2 linked regions of the Sus scrofa genome follow. The protein of the gene in region 1 interacts with the protein of each later gene in a pairwise test. Links are inferred from orthologs where the notes say so. Each region holds a gene or a part of one and is shown on either strand. Other genes may lie near its edges. The genes, in order: TRIM39 and UBTD1.

Evidence for each region.
Region 2: the proteins of TRIM39 (region 1) and UBTD1 interact in binary tests that used the Homo sapiens proteins (3 or more experiments, as listed by UniProt). The two-hybrid records come from large-scale screens. The link is inferred for Sus scrofa from reciprocal best matches to the Homo sapiens genes TRIM39 and UBTD1.

Annotation. Positions count from the first base shown.
Region 1 is NC_010449.5:23,056,594-23,060,402, reverse strand, and holds part of TRIM39 (tripartite motif-containing protein 39), read right to left. Parts: intron 2,601-3,809; coding exon 2,370-2,600; intron 1,190-2,369; coding exon 1,167-1,189; intron 603-1,166; coding exon 487-602; intron 1-486.
Region 2 is NC_010456.5:108,885,366-108,889,710, reverse strand, and holds the start of UBTD1 (ubiquitin domain-containing protein 1), read right to left. Parts: upstream 2,957-4,345; 5' UTR 2,310-2,956; coding exon 2,240-2,309; intron 1-2,239. Other genes in the region: MMS19 nucleotide excision repair protein homolog, read left to right, coding at 3,171-3,282. UniProt on the Homo sapiens protein: May be involved in the regulation of cellular senescence through a positive feedback loop with TP53. Is a TP53 downstream target gene that increases the stability of TP53 protein by promoting the ubiquitination and degradation of MDM2.

The sequences.
Region 1 (3,809 bases):
GGCTCTTCACTTTTTTCTTTCCTTTTCTTTTTAATTAATTAATTATTATTTTTTTGTCTTTCTGCCTTTTTCCAGGGCTGCTCCTATGGCACATGGAGGTTACCAGGCTAGGGGTCCAATCGGAGCTACAGCTGCCAGCCTACACCACAGCCACAGCCACGCAGGATCTGAGCTGCATCTGCAACCTACACCACAGCTCACGGCAACGCTGGATCCTTAACCCACTGAGCGAGGCCAGGGATCGAACCCGTAACCTCATGGTTCCCAGTCAGATTTGTTTCCGCTGCACCACGAAGGGAAGTCCGAGGCTTCTCACTTTGAGTTGTGACTCAGAGTGAGATTGAAAGCCCAGTACAGGTGGGTGTGGATATGGGCATGAAAAGGGACAGAAGGGAAGGGATAACTGAAGCCCAGAGAAAGCAGGACCTAAAGACTTTCTTCTCTCTGCTGATTCCCTCTGCTAGTTTCCTTTTGGGAACAACTCACCAATTAGCTGTTTAAGGATTTTCCTTAGGGCAAAGTACTGTCGGGGGAAATTGCTGAAGTTCTTTTCCAGCTCTATTGACACTGAAGTCACCTCCATGGTCTTCACCTTCTCACATCTAGGAGGGATGGGGAGATAGGGGAAGAAAGGGCAGGGTCAGGGGAAGCTCCAGCTTAGTGAGTTTTCAGATGTTGTCATCTCTAGGGAGAAACTAAAATTCTCCATCCCCCCACTTTCTTTCTCTTCCCTCAAGACAAGTATTTGCTTGTTGCTTTCTTTTGCCCATCTATGGAAAGCCATGTGGTCCCTTGGACAGACCATTATTGTGTGAATGAGTCTTAGAACTTTTTGAAAGGATTGTTATATTTCATGCAAATAGGTAATCACCCCCCTCCCCCAAGCCCTTTCCTCCTTCCATCTTGTTTGGACACATTTTCACCCACAGGCCCAGGTAGAATCTTGGTATCTACCTTAACAAGGAAGTCCTGATGGTCAAAGGGAAACGGTAAGGGGCTAGTACTCCCGATGATGTGCTCTCTGCTCCGTGGACACAATAAACCTTCTTCTATATCCTACCCAGATGCTGCGTGATATTCCCATCCATACTCCCCCAACTCCTCATTGCAGCCCTACTCTTGAAGCCAAGACCTAACTCACTCGAAGAGATACAAGAATCACTTACTTTTCCAGGGTACTTTTGACATCCTAGAGGAAGGAGAAAAGAAAGCAGTATTGGTCCCGGTGGTCAAGGGTCCTAAAGGCACAAGGTTCCCTCCTCCCAAACGTTTTAGATCTATTAAATAGGCATGAGGCAAACTAAGGGTCACAATGCAAGAGGAAGAACTCCAGAGGGACCCAAGCACATCTCTCCCGACCTACCCCCCACTTTCAACTCTCAGTCATCATGATGCTTGGTAACTGGTATCACTTCTACACAGTCTCTTGTGTGTTTGTCTTTGCTCTTCAAGGACACTGGGAGCTCAATGCTAGGGACAGGGATTGTGTCTGCTCTTTACTCTGTCCCCCAAGTACCAACCACACACCTGTCTCCTTGAGGATCAGTACAGATAGTTCCAGACTGCTGGCACAGGGACGAATCACACTCTCCCATTGTGGTTTGTATCCCTCGTCTGGCATTGGTTAATAAATATTAAACAACTGTGCGCCAATCCTGATTTGTGAATACTTGGGGTCCAGAAGACAAAGAAGACAAATCTCTGCCCCCCAAGGATTTCCCAGTTTAATGTGGAAGGCAGAACACACATACATGAAAGGACACGAGAATAAATACCAAGCAATATATAACATGCAGATAAATGTACAACGAAGCCTCACTTATTCAAATGCTGGCAATGTGATCTCTAAGATAAGAAATATGTTTCCTACAGCCTTGCAAACATCATTCATTTGCTTAAGAAAACAGATTATTTCAAACATTTTAGAGGTACTATTTACATATTAAAAGCAATATATTACTTATACATTATTTCAAGTGTCCTTCAAACTTTGTTTCTATTCTGAGTACTAGGTAGATCATGTTCCAGGACTTAAAAGTAATGGTTACTGCATTTACACAATTTTTAATGCATAGTTTTTTCACTAATTCAGACTAGACTACCCTCCTCTCAAAAGAGTGAATTTTTTCTTTGGTACAGGTGAAGCACATAATTGTTGGCAAGACGTAAGGGCACAGAAATGATCAGAAGGGGACGGGAGGAATCAGAGAAGCCTTTCTGTAGAGAAAGATCCTTTGAGTATGTCTGGAGGACAGAACTGGAATTTAGAGAGGCAGAGCGGAGGAGTGAGCACTGCAGGCCTGCCGAAGGGCCTGTGCAAAGCTAGGCTGCGCTCTGCCTGAGGGGCTATGCAGGGGCAAAGGTCGAACCTTAAGCATCTCGAAGCCCGACTGTAAGCACTTGCCCTCCACCTCCGCAGCCAAGTGGGCCAGGTCCCGGCGCTTATCTCCAAGGTGAGCAGCGTTTTCTCGGAGGCGCTGAAGAATGTCCTGTTCCTCCTCCTCCAGTCGTGAAAGCAACACCTGCTGCTCTTCATCCAGCCGCCGATGAAGCTCTTCAAATTCCTTTAGGATCTGCTGTCGGCGACTCTCCACTAGCCTCTGAGGACAGGGGGAGGGTGTTATGTTTAACAGGGCCAGGGTGGCATAGGTGCCTTTCCCACCCACCATGTGCATAAATTCACACAGACTTCCAGTGTCACTGGAAAGAGCTTAACAGGACACTCATGTTTCTCTCCACTGGAATTTCCTTCTGTAAAGAATGGCTCCATCCCCACTGTCTCCCCTACTGATGACTTGAGAGTGAAGACCACTTGGAAAGTTAAAAAATAAACCAATGTTGGAGTTCTCATCGTGGCTCAGTGGAAATGGATCCGACTAGCATCCATGAGGACGCAGGTTCGATCTCTGGGTTAAGGATCCGGCATTGCCGTGAGCTGTGGTGTTGGTCACAGACTTGGCCTGAATCTGACGTGGCTGTGGCTGTGGCGGAGGCCAGCAGCTACAGCTCCTATTGGGCCCCTAGCCTGGGAACCTCCATATGCCGAGGGTTCAGCCCTAGAAAAGACAAAAAAAAAAAGGAGGAGTTCCCACTGTGGTACAGCAAAGCAAAAATGAATCTGACTAGGAACCATGAGGTTGCAGGTTTGATCCCTGGCCTCGCTCAGTGGGTTAAGGATCTGGCATTGCTGTGAGCTGTGGTGTAGGTCAGAGACGCGGTTCGGATATGGCATTGCCGTGGCTCTGATGTAGGCCGGCAGCAACAGCTCCAATTAGACCCCTAGCCTGGGAACCTCCATGTGTCACAGGTGCAGCCCTAAAAAGACAAAAGACCAAAAAAAAAAGGTTAAAAAAAATTTTATGAGGAGTTCCCGTTGTAGCTCAGCAGATTACAAACCTCACTAGCATCCATGAGTTTTTGGGTTCAATCCTTGGCCTTGCTCAGTGGGTTAAGGATCTGGTGTTGCTGTGGCTGTGGTGTAGGCTGGCAACCGCAGCTCTGATTCAACCCCTAGCTTGGGAACTCCCAAATATTGTGGATATGGCCCTAAAAAATACATATATTTATTAAATTAACTTCCAAAAAAACTGTACTTTTATGTTTTAGTAAAAAAAATTCAAGACATAACAACTCAATAATAGGGAGTTCCTGTTGTAGCTCAGCAGAAATGAATCTGACTAGTATCCATGAGGATGCAGGTTTGATCCTTGGTCTCTCTCAGTGGGTTGGAAAGCCAGCATTGCTCTGGGCTGTAGTATAGGTCAGATGAGGCTCAGATCCTATGTTGCTGTGGTTGTGGTGCAGGCTGA
Region 2 (4,345 bases), on another chromosome or scaffold:
CACCATGTGCAGGCATTGGATGAATGACTGAAGATGAACTTGCTCTTGGTGGGCAGCTAACTTCAGCCTGGGAGATAAGTTGGACTTGAGGTGACATGGGACAGGTTTATAAGACCTGCTGAAGGAAGGACTAGCAGGTCCCACTGATTGACTCTTCCAGGACATGGAGGCAAAGAAAATTAGCAGAAAGAGTTCTTCAAAGTGTAATTTTAGGTAGTTGGGAGTTCCTGTTGTGGTTGAGAGGGTTAAGAACCCGACTAGTATCCATGAGGATGTGGGTTCGATCCCTGGCCTCGCTCAGTGGGTTAAGGATCCAGCATTGCTGCAAGCTTGCAAGCTTTGGCACAGGTTGCAGAAGCAGCTTGGATCTGGCATTGCTGTGGCTGTAGCATAGGCCTATAGCTCTGATTCAACCCCTATCCTGGGAACTTCCATATGCCATGGGTATGGCCCTAAAAAATAAAACAAAACAAAGCTTTAGGTAGGGGGAAGAATAGAAGAGTAAGGGGAAGCTGGTTGGGGGGAAAGATGCAGAACTGGTTTTAGAAGTGCTGAATCTGAGGTTAACTACATTGGTGTCCAGTGGGCACCTAGATATCTGAGTCTGGGGTTGGGGAAGCAACAGTTGAAAATACAGCATAGGGGCCTTCCCAACAGACAAAGAGTTGTGGGGCTAAGATTTCTCTGGGAGGGAGCATGATGCGAAAAAGATGGAATGTCAAACTGAACTATGGGTGTGCCCACACTAGGAGTGATGGCTGGCAGGAGTGATCGGAGAAAAAAGCCAAGATAGTCCAATGTCAAGGAGGGAAAAGTCGGGGGGGGGGGGCTTCAAGTGGGAGAGGATTGTCAACAGTTAAAAAAAAAAAAGCTACAAATCAATTACGTGGGCTGAGTACATAAATAATAAGTATTTGTTGAATGAATGAATGAATGAATGAAAGGAAGAAAGCCCTTGGATTTGAGAATCAACTTTCCTGTCAGAAGATTGGCCAGGGTTGCCTTGGGACAAGAGGACTTCAATGCTAAATTGTTCGTTGTCCTCCCTATAAAAACACGTTGCTTCTTGCATAAGTCATCCTGTCCACCACACAGACATCCTTCCCTGCTTCCCCCACGTTTCCCCTCATCTTCCTTCCCAGTTTGCGAAACTCAAGCAACACACACCTTCAGTGTCAAAGGAGACAGGAAACTTCAACTAGAGTTTCTACTTCATTAATAACTCTGCTTATGGCTCCTCTTAAAGGGCTATGTGGCAATTGAGTGGAATAGAAGATGGCCTTCTAATCCCAGCTGTACTACGAATTAGCTGTGCAGCTATCGACAAGTTGCTCAACCTCTCTGGATCTGGGCTTTTAACAGACAAGAGAAGGTAGGTCTATCTGGACTCTAGACAAGTTTCGAAGGTCTCTTTCAGCTCTAAAGTCTACGATTTTATCATTCTCAGAAGTTCCTTGCAACACCCTCAGAGAAGGAAGTGAAGTGAGTACAAGACCCGGGGAAACGACCGCCAGACCTCTTACCCAGGCGAAGCGCCAGGATAGGGGTGTATCCAGAAAGTGAGAAAGCGCTGCCGGCCCTCGAGGATCACCAGAGAGCAGATCCCATTCCTAAGGCTGGGAAGGATCCCAACAACCCGACAGCGATTCCCACCCCGCACCCCACCTTTTCTAGACTCCCAGACGGCCAGGAGGCTCTAAAAAGCCCTGCGGGAAAAATAAAGATTTCTTTCCCAGAGTCCTGCGCTGCTTTTGCAAGTCGGATTCCGGCAGGCACGATCTGCAGCCCGATAATGACACAGTCTTTGGAAGGAGCGCCTGTTCTCATCTCGCTCGCTTCGAGTTCTGGGACGACTGGCCACCCGCGCCGTGCCCCGACGGGCGGGCGTCCGACCCCGGCCCCGCTGCCAGGCCAGCGGCGCCCCGGCCTGGGGCCCTCCTCCCCTCCGCCGGCCCCGCTGCGGTCTGCAAACATTTCCTGCTCCCGCCCCCACCCCCACCCGGAGCTTCCCAGTTGGAGCGAGTTGGGCTCGCAGCCGGGTCAGCGCTCGCAGTTGCCACAAGTCGGCTCCCCCGGCCACTGGGGCCGGGGAAGGGGACCCCCGTCTGCCTCGGAAGCAGCCATCAGGGAAACCTAGGCGCCAGGAGCCGTGGGAGGTAGCTCAGGAAGCCCAGTTCTCGCGCAAGAAGGCGGACAACTGGCTGGGCGCCGGTGGCCCTGCTCCCTTCCCGGTCGTTACCTGCTCGCTTGCGGGGGTGTCCCGGGGCGGTCGGCCTCTCCCGGCGCTGTCTCCCCACACAGTTGCCCATGCTGGCTCTTCAGCCGGGCCCCATGCACCGAAGGCGACGGGATGGTCCGCTGCTCCGCGGTCCTGCCCCGGACGGCGGCGTCCCAGGTCAACGGCTCCGACCGCCCGGCATCGGGCGCTTCCCGATCTCCCCCCTGCGGCGCGCTCTACCCCAGCGCCGGCTTCGCCACAAACTTTGCGGGCAAGGAGAAAGAGGGAGGTGGCCGACTCCCCAACACAGTCCCAGGTGGCCGGGCCAGGGGGGCCCGCGACGGTGCCCGGCTGGAGACCAGCTCCGCTGAAGGGGCGGAGAGAGGGGGCGGGCACCGCCGCTGTTACTCCCGGCTCGCTCGGGGCTCCCAGCTGGGGCCGGCCCCCCGGAGCCTGTCACTCACCTGCCTAACCCCGCCCCAGCCCAGCCCTGCTCCCTGCCGCCGGCTCGCGGTGCCCGCGCCGCCGCCGCCGCCCGCCCCAGGTGCGCATGTGACCGACGGCACCGCCCCCTCGGGCCGGGCCTGGTTTTCTCATTGGTTCCCCCCAGGGTGCGTACCGCCCCTCGGCCCCACCCAGACAGGTGCCCGCCCCGCCGCGGGTCTCCCGGGAAGCTGGGCCGGGAATTATTCGCCCTCAATGGCCCCCGGCTGCGTGCCCAGCAGCCGCCTTCGCTCCCTGAGCCACCGCCCCGACTCCGGGCCCCGCCCCTTGGGGAGGGGCCGTCCCATCCCACCCTGGAACTGCCTGGCCTGGAGCCGGCAGGCACGTGATCCAGGGAGCGCCCCGCCCCCTCAGCCTTCGCCAGGCGATTGGCTCAGGAGGCGCGTGCGCTGAGAGGCCCATCCCGTGCCACCGCCCATTTCCCCTCCCACCGTCTCCAGTTCGCGTCATGGCCGCCGCCACCGCTCTGGAGGCGGTCGCGCCTACGGGCGCCCTGTGGGGCCTCGTGCAAGACTTCGTCATGGGTCAGCAGGAGGGCCCCGCAGACCAAGTGGCTGCAGGTACGGCAGACGGCGCCGCGCGGCTTCCGCTTGGGGGCCTCCAGGAGGGAGCGGCCTCAGCACGGGCGCCGGGCGGGAAGGGAGCGGTGACTTTGAGAGATTGGTCCCGGGCTGGTTGTGAGCACCGCGTGCTTAAGAACCATAACAAATTGCGAGTCGCTTGCAGTCTTCCTTAAAGCGCCCTTATGACCCTCGTTTTGGTTTATAGCCACCCTGTGCACCGGCCTGGGTTAGGAAAATCATTACCATTTCGCAGGTGTGGAAACTGAGGCCCAGAGAGGGCCAGAGGCTTCCTGGGGGAGTTGGGACTTGGACGCAGGTCCTCCAGTTCAGAATCAGGTGCTCACTCCGCGAAAGCACGTTGTTTCGAGGAAGTTGATGTGACGAGAAGCATCTTCGGCAGCATCAGCTCCAGTCGCGTGGCATGTTGGGAGTGGCCGCGCGACCCAATCTCTGACTGGCTGTAATTAATTGGAGAGAGGAGGAGAGAAACCAGCCTAGGGGGAGTTTGAGATGTTCTGCGTATCTCTTCCCCCCATTCTTGTTCAAGTTCTTGATTAATTTGCTTCGTGCCTTTTTTATGTGGTGTGTGTTTTTATATTTTTCCCAGAACTCCAATTTCCTGCTTTTCACCAGTTTAGGGATCTCTTAGTTCTGACAGCTTATCTAAAATTTGAGCGGAGCAAATGACAGATTTCCTTGAAATTCTGAGACTTCACTCTTTTAGAAAAAGAAAAATCTAAAAAGTTATTGAATGTTAGGAGGCCTTCGGACCTTGTGTCTATGTAATAGAATACAAAATAATCTTGTCAGTACAGATAAGTTTTGTCTTTATTTTTGGAAATTGCGCGTGTTTGGGGAGAAGTAAAGGATACATTTCTCTTGAAAAGTGAACACACTTGCTTTTAAAATATGTGGGAAATGAATAAAGTGAACCTGTCAGAAGTATAATACTTTGGGAGTTCCTGGTGGCTCAGGAGGTTAAGGATCTGGTGTTGTCGCTGCCATGGCTTGAGTGTGGCACTGGTTCGATCCCTGGCGGGGGAACTTCCACGTGCTGCCT